Rhinolophus ferrumequinum: one gene and its partner. The protein of the gene in region 1 interacts with the protein of each later gene in a pairwise test. Links are inferred from orthologs where the notes say so. Each region holds a gene or a part of one and is shown in the gene's direction. Other genes may lie near its edges.

Evidence for each region.
Region 2: the proteins of WASL (region 1) and RHOJ interact in binary tests that used the Homo sapiens proteins (3 or more experiments, as listed by UniProt). The two-hybrid records come from large-scale screens. The link is inferred for Rhinolophus ferrumequinum from reciprocal best matches to the Homo sapiens genes WASL and RHOJ.

What each region holds. Positions count from the first base shown.
Region 1 is NC_046309.1:20,783,317-20,790,383, forward strand, and holds the start of WASL (actin nucleation-promoting factor WASL), read left to right. Parts: upstream 1-4,032; 5' UTR 4,033-4,376; coding exon 4,377-4,496; intron 4,497-7,067. UniProt on the Homo sapiens protein: Regulates actin polymerization by stimulating the actin-nucleating activity of the Arp2/3 complex. Involved in various processes, such as mitosis and cytokinesis, via its role in the regulation of actin polymerization.
Region 2 is NC_046289.1:32,317,081-32,324,080, reverse strand, and holds the start of RHOJ (rho-related GTP-binding protein RhoJ), read left to right. Parts: upstream 1-3,934; 5' UTR 3,935-4,349; coding exon 4,350-4,596; intron 4,597-7,000.

The sequences.
Region 1 (7,067 bases):
TTCTTGCATAAAGGCATGCATTAGGTATCTGGAGAGTAGGCCATATCGTGGTAGTTACCATCACTGGTAATTCACTACCATAAGTAAGAATTTAATGTTCCACTAACACTAAGAAATCAGAATGGGTTGTAAATAAACTATCCATTCCTAAAAAAGAAAGTCCCAAAGAGGCTTGTATTCAAAATGAATTGAAAAGGGAGAGAAAAACAGTTTGGTAGCTTACTTTTCAAGATTTCAGTTGATGACAATTAAAATACTTAACATATAACTTGGGAAAACAAGTACCAAGACAAATTCTCTTAAACACTGCCACATGCAACATTTACATGAAAATGTGAAGATGTTTTACAATGTGAACATTCTAAACCCATGACACTTGAAGGTTGCAAGGGAGAAGGGACAATCACCCCCTTGCCATATCCGCGCTCGCTGCTGTTGTCTCTATAACTCAGTTCTGCCAGTCAAGCAGTAATAGTTAAGTCAGTCCTGCTAATTGGCCACGGCTGCTGAATGCCAAGATCCCTGGGTGCAGCTGCCTCTATATTCCCCTACAATGATGGGTGTCACTACAGTTTAAATTATTAATATTAGCAAGGGGAACAGGGTGTTTCAGAGGACTTGTAACAGTACATAAACAATGATATTTGTAAAGAAGTAAAGTGGATTAACAAAGGACCAGGATAGGAGAAATTTACAATGTATAATAACGGCAGGGAATGCATCTGAAAATATGCCCTCCTTTCCATAAATAAGGTATCCTAATGTTTTGTTAAAAATGAGGACTGTAGTTTAAAGGATCGTAGCAAAGAAAGAAGAAAATGAAAGTACTAGAATAGATTCTGAATCAAAGAAAGTCAAGTGGAAGAACTTTTAAAAATTGCCTTATTCTTAGTTGTATTCATAATACAGCATGTGCATTTTACAGGTATATGAAGATAGAATCCCTACAGTATTCTTAACCTAGGTTACAAACTTCAACATACTCACTTGAAGGGAAATAGAATCCTTCTTATTTCCTGGATCAAATCCAATTTCTCAAACTGGGTAAAAAGAATTTGAGATAAGAAAATAACTTGCCAAAGAAAACAGAGAGAAAGATGTCTTGTGTTTGGCTGAAGAGAGGATATGCTATCAAGAATGAAAGAAAGAAAGGACTTGCTAAAACTTTTCGAACAAACAGAGCCAGTACTGCTTGGTCTCACGATGAACATGGAAAAATAGAATCCTTGTATGCATAGGAAGGGGGATAACCCCAAATATTGTCTGTGCACGTGTCCCAAAGAATAAGGAAGGCGCATTTAGTGTTCACACTTATATTTTCCACATTTTAAGAACAAGGAGTCGAAAAAAGCCCAGATGAAAGCAAAAGTAACAATGAAGGAGTTGAAAATAAGAACTTAGACTGTAATTTTGTGGACAAAATACCATATTTAAAATTTTGAGGAAAAGCTAAAGAAGCAGTTTGGGCTTGAGAAAAAAAGCCTGTGGTGGTTATAATTTTCCATCTTCATTTCTAAAGCAAAAAAGAACCGGGCAAATGGTCAGAAAATTTCACTTAGAAACATAAGATTTTAAAAATTTTCTCAAAGGAAAAAAAGTAATTAAAACAATAAACAGTTTAGGCTAACAAGAGGTTGTGAAATGATTAGAAGCCAGTGATTCTCCATGTGGGATAGATTCTTCAACGCATAGCTACTGTCCATTCACCCATCCTCCCGTAGCTTCTTTTTCACAGCCCTCTTCCACATCTTTCTACTATCTTCAAAATGGTTTGGTGGACTACAAGTTTTAAAAGCGGGCATTCCAACATAAAAATTGCTCTCATTCACTTTTTATTAATTAGAAACTAATATGATTCTGTCTCTAGATTTCTCGTTTTAAAAGCTTTGTAATTTTGGCATACTGAGAACATAGAGCCTATGTGACATAACATATACCCTAATTAGAAATTCTGCAAACACAAAGTGATACCCCAAATTCACTATGTATTTGGAGAATGACGCAGAGTTCTAAATAGGAAGGACAGTTTTCAAAGTATCAGGTTTAGATAGAATAACGATAAAAACACCCATTTCAACTCAACTCTTGAACCTTTAGCTAAGGGAAGGTAAGGTAGACCATAGGTAATGATGGTGAGTGACAGACAAGTAATATTTGAGTAACCATGATGTAGCAGGTACTTTACATTGTAATCCTGGTAAGTTTTACAACTTTGAGGTAAGTTTAATTATGTTTATACTATACCTTTATTAAATAGAAATTATTTTCTATTTTACAGATGAGGAAACTAAGACTTAAGAGAAGCAACTTGTCCAAAGTCCACAAGGTTGTAAATGGCAGAACAAGAACTCCAACTTAGGCCTATGTGAAGCCTTTATTTTTGTTACTATCCTGGTTTGAAAATACTAAGGATCTAATTTCTATCATTTCTCAAGCATTTCTAATGCTTTCCACTATTACTGCGGTTTTAATTTATAGGAGCCTCAAGTTTGATACAAGACTAACTGCTTTAGCTTCTAGGTTATTTTATTAGCTCTGTAATTCAGAGGAAACTCCAGGTTGACATTTCTACTATTGTTTTTCTAAACTGAATTATTTTATTAAAAGTCCACTCGCTTTTTAAAAAATCACATTTTCCCTAACGTTATTAATCAAATGTAATTTTGAAATGTCCATATTTTGTGTGAGGACTCCCAGGACTACATGACCGCATTTACCTTTGTCAATTTGTTCCCACTTAACTTCATTAAGGGCAGTTCTCAAGTTTCATATTTTCAAAGTGCACTGATAATGGCTTATCAATCTGTTTAGTACATCAGAGATTTGTATTGGAAGCTCTCAGAGATGTTAAAATCAATTAGTTTCATCCAATTTTATTTGGCATAGGATGGCTTAAATTTAATATATGGGAACTTTATTGAAATTGAGTAATTAGCAAACATGATGGTTCAAGTTTATCCAATAAATGCTGATTTGTTTAAAGGGGAGAAGTCAGATGTTTATTCTAATTCACTGTTGTGGGTAGTATTTATCATTTCCATATTCCAAAACTTCGTTTTAAAAGTTGAACATTAAATTTATTGAACAGAAGAGTTTATCTTGGGTAACTTTCAATATTTGGAGGTATACGAGTTTTTCTTTTTTTTTAATTCCTGAGATTTACTTCTGACGATTAAACCAGATGATGTATTTTCCTGTATGGCAGACATCCCCAAACGGGCACAGTCATTTTGGATAAGAAGAAAACAAGGTCTTCGGGGTTTGAGAGAAACAAAAAGATGAGAAGCGAAAAAAGGAATATTTTTCAATTCACAAGACAGGGGTTAAAAGGCGTGTTCAGGACCCTTAAAAGAAAAGATCTTGGATTTACATGTGACAGACACACTCATCCGATGTGAGGAGACGCCAGGCGGACGGTAGAAATCTCAAGTGCGTTTGTTTTTTGTAACGTCCATCAGCAAGATCTCCCTTTCACAATGCTGGGTGAGGCCTATTTGTTCCTCCACTCCCACTATTGAAGTTTGGACAGAGTTTAAGAAATCCCAGGCACCTGCGGCTCTGACCGAAACCGGCGAGGAGCACCGGGGACCACGTCACTTCTCTTCAGTGTCCCGTGTCCGCATTCCAGACTTTCTTGCCGTGCGGTGTGAGCGTCCCGGTTTCCGCGCCCCAGAAATCAGAGCCATTCCGGGGAGGGGGCCTGGGTCCGCACAGACTCTTCGCAAAGGTCGACGTCTGTGAAAGAGGGACCGGCAGCTCGGGGCCGGGGCCGAGCGTCCTCTGCGCTCCAGACAGCAGCCGCTGGGCCGCAGCAGCCGGGAGACGACAGTAGAGGCTGGTCCCGCACCCCGCACCACAGCCTCGCATCAGACCGCGCAGCCCGCGCCTCGGCCGGAAGGGGCGGGGCTCGGGGCCGGCGCGGCGAGGCCGGCGGCGCGTGCGGGGGGGGGCGGTTCCTCCCGGGCCCGGCCCGCAGCCGAGTTTCCGGCGCGCTCCCCCGCGGCCTGCGTCTTGTGGTCTCGCCCGCCCCCGCTGCCATGTTGGATTGTGCGGCCGCCGCCGCCGCCGCTGCCGCCGCCGCGGGAGGAGGGTTGGAGGAGGAGTTGGGAGTTTAGCGCAGTCGCCGGAGTGCGAGGGCAGCGACCATCCGGCCAGAGCCCAGCCGGGCGGGAGTTGGGAGCTTCCCTTACTCCGCGCGGCCCTCCGTCGGCTCCTCCTTCCCGTGGCCTCCCTCCTCCTCCCCGCGCCGGAGGAGTTGAGCGAGATGCTGCGCCTCTGACTCCCCTCCTCCCGCCCCTGTCACCGAGAGGGGGGACGAGCGCTCGCCCACTCGCCGGAGGACACGGACCTGGACTCCCAGCCCCGCCGGCGACACCATGAGCTCCGGCCAGCAGCAGCAGCAGCCGCCGCCGCGGAGGGTCACCAACGTGGGGTCCCTGCTGCTCACCCCGCAGGAGAACGAGTCCCTCTTCACCTTCCTCGGCAAGAAATGTGTGGTCAGTGGTCGAGACCCGCGTCGCCACCACCGACGTTACCTCACGGGCCCGGGCCGGGAAGTGGGAGTGGGGATGGAGGCGGGAGCGGCGCGGGGAGGGTCTGGCTGCTGGCCAGGCCTTCTCCCGGCCCCGCACGGGCGCCCTGGCCCCGCTCCCTAGGTGCGGGCAGTGCGGGCCCCGGCAGCCGAACGCCGCCACCCGGAGCTGACCGGCAGCAGGGAAGTGTCACCTCCGCAGGCCTGTCTTGGAGCCCTGCTTGGCCCGGCCCTCCGCCCTTGCTGCTGGTGCAAACTTGACTCTCAGGCCCAAAGGCGATTTTCTTGCACGAGCTGCTGGATCTTAGCAACCCGGCCCCTGTCCTGGCCTTCGCTTCACCTCCTCCCGCTTGATCGGGGGGTCCCCTCCGTCACAGTGCCAAAGGTTTCAGGAGTGGTTAGGTTAGGAAATGAAACCCAGATATGAATGAAGCGGACCACACGGTGGTTTCAGTTCCCCTTTAGGATCTCAGGAGGGAATGCTGTGCAGTGCATGGGTGCAAAAGGAGGGCAGGAAATGCTACTGTACCCCACTGCAGAGAAACGGTTTGTTTCTCCAGCGTTCTCGCCCAGGCCTGATTTCTACTGTCCTCCCCACTTATTTATTTATTTTTGCATTGGTGGGAGGAGGCACTGCGCTCCCCACTGCCATGCGCAGGGGAACCGCAATCTCTAGTAGTTCTTGGCCTTTTGGGGCCGGAGAACGATTCTTAGATTGGTGGTGTGCGGCCTGTTCCGACCCCAGATGGCGGGTTGGGAGCCAGCAGTTCTGCTGTGGGAAGGGGAATGTGTGTTGTTGACGGAAGCATTCATTACATTGGCTGCCGGCGCTCCTGGGGGTGGGAAGGTTCTGCCCTGTGGTGTAGGCCTTGTCAGGCTGCATCTTACTGCGGTGGCTGGGTTGAACTGTGGTTGAGTTTGTTGCAACTGCTGAGTCCATTTCTTGCCCCTTTGCTTGTTAGCACCTGCAGAATATGTGCCGCTGGAACCCAGGAAACACCTACAGAAATGTCAACAGAGCAGTTTTACAACTTTTCTTAGTAGTGTTAAATATGTCAAACCAGGCTACACCTGCTTGTTTAAGAAATTAGAACTAGACAGTTTCTGGAAAGTTACCGGATTAATTGTTAACTTTATAGGTGGGAGTCTACCCTTTGTGTTCTGTCCCATCCAGTTGGGGATTGAACCATTTATTACAGGCGATTCAGATGTGTTTCATATTTCAGAAGTTAGACCTTAAAGAACATATTTGGAGTTTACTGATTAGAAGAATTAAATAGGAGTGGCTTAAAATCAGAATTTAGGAAACAACTGTAAAGATATTCAAGTTTCCCTCCCCCCCACCAGCTTTTTTAAACAAATGAGAAAGCTGAGCCAGTGAGCCCTAAGTCACACAGCAATTTAGTAATGTAACCAGAACTAGAAAACCAGGACTCCTGATGCCTAGCCTGTGTACTTTCCACTACATCATGTTGTTTGAGAACGGTTTGTTCTCCCTTGTTATTATTTCTAAAAGTTAAAGAAATAATCATTTTTTATTTTTTTTTTTTTACCAACACCAGATAAAATTAAAAAGTGTGAGATTCTTAAAGCAGCACTAATTTTTGCATATGTTCAATTTAGGAAAATCTCCAGCACTTTGAATGTTAAATTATCTGCAAAGAAAAAAATAATTAAAATTTTGCTGATTTATTACATTTGCTATGTAATCTGTGTCAGAAAGGAAGTAGTTTGTGACTGTGTTTTACATACCAGACACATTAGCTTTATGCAGGAAGGACGTTGGATTTATATGCAAGTATACTTACTAATAGCTTTGTGCTTACCTGTACTGTTTACTGGTTTCAATAAATGGCAGGTGTGGAAGAATACTGTGCTAGAGAAAGAGAGTGTTGCTTATTGGTTAGTGTGAGTTGGTTGCTGAATAGGCTTTCTGTATTCAGGGCTCAATTTCTTTATGTCATCTATTATTAATCAACTTTACCTTTTGAATTTCTGTCATATAAAACCACACTGTTACCTGCTCTTCTGGTATGAAATTATTTCGAAGATAAACTTCAATATTCGACCTCTCCGGTTATTGGAGAGTAAAGTAAGAATGATGTATTAATTTTTTGGAACCATCTTTTTTTCCCTTTGATGACTATGCAGTTTTTGTAGTTAAAACAGTACTGAAACACAGTTTATTTAAAAAAAAAAAAATCCAGCAATAAGATTTACAGATCAGACCACACTTACATTTGTTAAGCAAGAAGTATATTCAGAATCGTAGTCATGGTGCCAACTCTCAAGGAGTTTCATTCCTTCTCTTACTCAACAAATAAGTATTGAGTAACTAAATGCTGAGGTCAAAACCAGGGTTGATGCCTGCCCTCAGGGAGCTTACAGTGTTTGAAAAGGAAAATGTGTAAACTGATGAGTAAGTCAGTTCTTCAGAGTGATGTGTAAGAGGTTGCATGTCACATTGGAAAATGTCTTTGTTTTGTAGTCAGCAGATGGGGGTTCAAATTTATATGGTCACTTTGGGCAAGTTTTT
Region 2 (7,000 bases), on another chromosome or scaffold:
TGGCCCACCGACTGTTTCTCCTTCCTCCTTGATTACAGGAAGAGTTACTTGCTCTGTCTGGTGAAGGCTGAGCAGGGTTGGAAAAGGATTTACTTGACATGCCCATCAGATTGTGGTAGACGCCTGGAGCGCTGGGTTGAGAGGCCTTTGTCAGCCATGTCCAGATTCAGCTAGAACATGTGTCATGATGACATTTACCCTGGCATTGAAGGGGAGAATGGTAGCATTTGAGCAGAGTCTACCATCTTGAATTTGATGGCTTACCCTACTGCCTCATAGAAAAACCCTCTACTTCTCAAAATGCTCATTTTATTTTTCTAACGTAACTGTGAGAGGAGCTATGTTACACCAGCATCAACTGTAGAATTATTTCTGAGGTTAAGGAAAGGCTCAGGGATGAGTGCCCCTGATGACAATGACTCACTGTCCCCTGGGGAGGGGCAGTTCCTATCCACACTAGTCCTAGGACTGCCTGTTCAGTCTGAGCAGTGCCCCAACTGATCCTGAGGTTTCGGCCCAGTGGGAGATTCAGGCCACAACTTCTACGCTAGCAGCTCCTCCTGCCTCACACCATATCCACCGCCATGAAAGGCCTGACTTCCATACAGGCACCACAGAGGGGTTCCTCTGAAATGAGGGTGACTTGTGACAGAGCTGGGTATCCGGACTCATAGTAAGCACAGCCCATCCCACATTCCTAAAACTCGATCTCCTACATAGAGGCTAATCCAGAATGAGAGTATTTGATCCAACAGCATTATTTCCCTGTATAACTGAGTTTCAAGCACAAAAGAAAAAAAAATAGGGGAGGAAAGTCTGGGCTCTTTTTTAGGTCACAATAAAACTGGAAGCAATCAGAGGAGTCAGAATTTTATGCAGAAAAATGCTCTGTTGGCATTTGGGGAAATTCATGTGAAGCCAAAGCTCAGAGGACAAGAAGGAGCCATGGAATTAAGAACTCTTAGAAAAAGCAGGAAATACCGCCCAATAAGATTTCACCATGTACTGGCAAGTTTGTGTAAACTTGGTGCTTGAGGTAAACCAAATAATTAATGGCTATAAAACCATCACTCAACCATTCAAATGGCCCAAGATCCTAAAAGTACAGGCATCTCGTAAAGAATATTTTAGCAAATTGTCTTCAAACCACTTCTAAATTCCTATCTATAAACCTTTGGAATTAAAGTAGATACTTGATCATTCTACCTGGACAAGTAGTCACAATTCTATGGACTCGTGGACCTAGAAGAACAATACTGAATTGTGTTTAACTTTTTTCTAAGATTCTGTTACTGTGGGTTCAGGTCAATCATTTAATATTTAGAAATATTTGTTCTCACGTAGACAAGGTGAGCTATATAATAAGTAGGCTATTAACATTTTAACTTTTTTGCCATTTTTCTCTAGGCTGTCTCAATCATTTTTCCCTATACATATTCAATTTGGGGGGCAGTAAGAATAAAGAAGCAAGTTTATTTTGAGAAATATAGCCAACATTCTCAATAGCCACAAACCACCTCTGCATACAATCCAATCCAGCAGACGTACCAATCCTTTGAGCCAGAGGTGAAAGACCCATAACTGGCTGCCTCAAGTTTTCTAAACGTCTCTGAAATTATGGTCCACGTAGCAATCTGCATAAACGTGAACACCTGTGTCTGATGGCACAAGGTTTAGGTTAGATGTGGATGTAGCAAAATTTCACCTGATCCAATTTTTCAATTTTTTCCTAGACCAGGGTTCAGTGGGCAGGGGCATATTCATAGTATAGGAATCCAGGCTGGGCAGCCATGTTTGAGAACTCCATGCCACATTTACTGTCTGATCTCAGGGACAAGGTCAAAGGCAGACTCCCTCAAAGTTCTGCCAAACACATTGTGCTCAGAGTGGTCTTGTTCATCTTCAGGATGGAGTTCTTGACACTGTCAATCACTTCTTCACCTGCACAGATTTGTTTGGCTGCCACTTGCACACTTGAGCCTACTTTTCAGGCATTTTCAGGTAGATTAAATGAAACTAAAGTTATATAAATCATATGCAGCCACAGGTGTCTTCAAATGCCTCAGAATGGCACCAATCATAAACAATTCAATTTTTGCGCTCCTAATTGAACCTCAACTAAATGATCTCTGGTTACCTAAGCCATATCTAATCTATTCAGGCTATTCATCAACATGTAGTTCTCTCCTTCCCGGAGCATGGTAGGATTATACTTCTGACCCTGCTGAACCCAGCATGGGTACATGACTTGCTTTGGCCAATGAATGAGAGCAGAAGCATCACCTCCAGAAGGAAGCTTTAAGAGCCAATGCCACTTCACCACATTAATTTCTTCCTCTCCCACAGTAACCCCCAATGGTCTCAACGTGACTGCTCCACCAGCCTAGATCTCTGAATGAAGGTGACAAAAAAACACAATACAGATACAATGTGACTAAGAAATACACATGCTATTCTAAATCATTGAGCCTTGGGAGTTGTTACAACAACATAACCTCCTAGTAGATATACCACAACCTGACTGAAACATCAACCCGTTCTAGGAAAGAAATATTGGGACACTAAGCACTGTGGTAAATGTTACTATAATTCAAAACAGAAGAAATTTAGGCCTATATTTATTATACAGTAGCATATATATGTATATATAGCCACATATATGTATACATATATACATGTATATTATCAATAGTCACATATCAAAATAGACTTCTCTCCCACCCTCTCCAAAAAAAATTAAAAACCCTCCTCAAATCAATTGGATAATCTGAATTCTTAAAAATCACTGCTCAAAAATCTCAAAGAAACAGAGAGCTCCTTCATCAAAAAGGGACTTGACCCATTGTCAAAATCATTTGCAGAGTTCCACTTCTTTTCTAAGACCAAGTGCATTAATTAAATGCAGAGCTTCAAAGGGGCTTCATTCTGAGTGACCCAACAGACAAATAAATTAGCTGCCAGTGGCTCCTTTGTAATTGAAGAGGGCCAGGCTGACCCAAGGGGATAGGACTAAATCAAAAAGGGAACCGTCAAAGTGAAAGCAGCATTTGGGGACCTAAAACAAACTAATAAAGCCATCCCCCACACGCATTTCCAAGAGTAAGGGTGAGCCAAGCACATGTGTGTTTATTCACTAATAAGAAGATGCAAATATCCCACATCTGACTGATTTCTTATGTGCTACAACCATAAAAATGTTTGTGCCTGGAACACATGTTTGTTTGAGTGTTGTGCTCAACTGTGGCAATGTATAATCCTGAACACACATATTATACCTACAATCTACAAGAATGTTCCCCTTTGAAACAGTGTAACTCTGGGAGGTTTTCTTTTTTTCTTTTTTTGATAGTTTGCAAAATACTGTATTTGCATGATTTATCATTCATATTACAAATTACTATATATTTTTTTAATTTATTGGGGTGACAATTGTTAGTAAAATTACATAGATTTCAGGTGTACAATTCTGTATTACATCATCTATAAATCCCCTTGTGTGTTGGTTTTCTTCTTTATTGTAGGGACGAATTGCTTAAGGTTTTCATTTAAGTATGTGAAGAACTGTCCATTTTTAATTTGCAGAACTTTTAACTGGTGACTCAGTGAGGGATGATGTCATATGTTATCCTACAACGGCTGGTGTGGTTCGCTCTGCTCACTTAAACCATTCCCGTTTCTCTGGCAGACAGTACTCCCCAGTTTCCATCCTTTCGTCAGCCTCTTCCCAGCCAGCCACAGGCAAACAGCCCCCCCAGCAGCGGACGCGAAACAGGAAGCCTGACAGCTTGAGTCTGCTTTGGGACCCCTAGTGTTTTCCCACTCCATGTTCTGGCAGCGTTCCCCAGAAGTACAAACACACACACACAGAGCTCCCATTGTTGCAGCCTTCCCCAGCCCACTGATCCTAATATGGAATGCAGCAGGAAACCCATGATTTCCTGACACTCGGCAAGCTGGAGGAAGCAAGGGGAAAACTCCATTAAAAAGCCCAGCTTTCCTCCATGTTAGATGTGAAGTGGAAAATGGGGAAGATTCAGCAAACTTCCACTGTGTCTTCAGCCAGGCTGGAAAGGGGGAGAGCAGAGTGAAACCCTCAAGCTGTTGAAATTTCCAGATTGGCAGGAAATCCCTAGAATTCAGTGAAAATGAGGGTTTCTTAACTCAAACTGATAGGGAAAAGGGACAGTCCCTTTGAATAATTCTCCCAAGTCAGTGTGTGTGTTAACTTTCCTTACCAGTATGATAAGCAAGAGGGCATATGCCAGCTGCCAAGGACGAATTTGTATGATCCCAGGTACCCAAAGTAAGGCAAAGTGATCTCAAGCCTGCCGCTGGCTGCCCGCTGCTCCATGGGCTTTGCGAGAAGCAGGAGAAGCAACAGCAGCAGCTCAGTCACCACAGCTGGAGCCGCAAGAATGAACTGCAAGGAGGGAAATGACAGCAGCTGCAGCTGCGGGGGCACCGAAGAAGAGAAGAAGATGTTGAAGTGTGTGGTGGTGGGGGACGGTGCTGTGGGGAAAACCTGCCTGCTGATGAGCTACGCCAATGATGCCTTCCCAGAGGAGTATGTGCCCACCGTGTTTGACCACTATGCAGGTAAGAAAAGGCGGAAAACCTACCCCTGCAGACCGGGTGAGTGATACGGGGGCGACACCCAACTTCACAGGGGCCTAGCTCGCGTCTAACGTCACTATTGGGTACGGGCCTAGAACTAGCCAGGTAGCTTAGCATAACATACAGCCAAGGGCTTTGCTGGAATTATTAGAACAATTTGTACATCAATTTGTACTGTAACACTTTTCCCTTCTTAAATCAAGTGAATAACATGGGGGAAATACCCTGAAATGTCCTCTGGGTTTTGGGGCCATTTGCCTCATATTTATCAACTTTTTATTGTGAACATTTTAAAATGTAGTGTAATTATACCACAATTTTTACCAAAAAAAAAAAAAAATCACCACTAACCACAATAACAGGCGAAACAAGAGTTCGTGCCACTTTTCCTATATTCATTTCAGGCCATTCATAAATGAAAATGCTAAGATTAATAAACATTAGAACCTTCATTTTTCTATATTAATTGGTGATGTACTATTACTACTGCACTTTCATTTTCTTGGGGTTATGCATGGGGGGGAAGTATTAAAAGGTTTTAAATATCTATTAGGCAATCTGTATTTTGAAGGAAAAGAAACATTTTTATAGGTTTTTAAAAGTAAAAATAAAGATTAAAAATCAAATTTGAAACATTTTCAAGTATGTCCCAAAAGGACAAAATTGGGGATAAAATGTTTTAAATCATGGCAGTTAAGATACTATAGTCACAACTTAATTCTTTCAGGTATATAGTTTTCCAGTGTTCTAAAGTTTGTAGTGTGATAGCTTATCAGTGTGATAGCTTATCTAAGTTTTTCCATTTTGACTCTTACTTTTTCTCTTAATTTCCAAAACAAATCTTATTAACTTCTTAAAAGTTCATAAAATTCTTCAGAAGTTCACAATAGCCTAGATTTTATAACTTTTTGAACATAGTGATCAGCTCGATAAATTATCTGAGATTTGAGATTTTGTAAGAGGAAAATGTCTCTTCCGTCACCTTGGCTTCGGGTGAGATTCAGCAAAAGGGAAACGACCCACAGGAAACCTGTGTGAGTGCTGGCTTTGTTATGTGGCCTTTTGAAATCCTCTTTCTGCAGGAAGTAGCTTCTTTTCCAGAGCTAAACAATCACCTAAGTCCCCTCCTCCTCCTACATTTACATGATTTATGATAATATTACATAGCAGACAGGGAGAGAATCATAGTATCCATTTCCCAGCAGGTTTTTCTATATTTGTAGAAATTAAGAGCAAATTTGAATGTTGGCTCCCTTCAGCTGTTCTGAAAATATAATGACTGTGCCCAGAGAAGAAAATTTTTATGAGAACAGAATAAAGAGAAGAACAGGTAGACTTTTACCTTTAAAAAAAAAAAAAAAAAAAAAAAGCAAATTATAACATTAGGGTGTCTGCGACTTAAGAAAATTACTAGGCTACTTGACCTGTAAAGATCTTAGCAAAATTTATTTATTCTACACCCTCTTTCCTCCAGGAAAGGGAACCTGGCTGGTACCTAATTTCAAAAACATTTATAATAGATCAAATATGAAACCTAAAATCTACTAAAAGGAGAGGTTTCAAGTGCTTTTGAAAATTACGTGTCTCACCCTATCTATTGGGTGAACCAATTACAATGTAATGTCAGGGATAAAGAGAATAAAACCATCTTTAGAGATAAAGTCAGCCTATTAAAAAAAAAATACATATTAAAGATCAAAGGCTGAAGCACTACGAGATTCCACTAGGGTCAAATTTTTTTATATTTCAATTGTGTACATATTTATTATCTATCCAAGCATCTTAAAGATTTTGGCTACTCTACGATTTTAGCTGTCAAGAAATCACAGCCACTATATCCAAAGCAATACTTGTCACACAGTAGGCATTCCCAAACATTGTTGCTTTAATTTACACTTTGTACCTTTTTAAGTACATCATCTTTTCACGTGCTTTCAGTTAGATTGTAAAGGAAATGAAGACATGAGCCTCATACATCTAGGATGGTAATGAAGTGAACACGTTCATTAGTAGAGAGATCTCCTCCGTCACAACGACTCTAGTTCCTTTTACCATCATCCCCCCCATATATGAGCTAATAAAACATAAGTCCTTACACAGTCACATGAGAATCTACAATCAATTGTAAAAAAAAAAAAGAAAGAAAGAAAGAAAGAAAGAAAAGAAAAGAAAAGAAAAAGAAGGAAAAAAAATGCTTTTTTTCTCCACATGGAGAAGTATCCCGTATCTAGGCCCTGGGTCCAATCAGCCCGTTCTGAAATGACAACCTACAACTGGTTTACTAAGAGTCTTCAGGAAATTGTAGTTCAAGTCAAAGAGAGTCTGTCCCTTAAAGATGTTTCCATAATAGCTGCCAGCTCCAGGAGGATAGAGGTATAATAGTAAG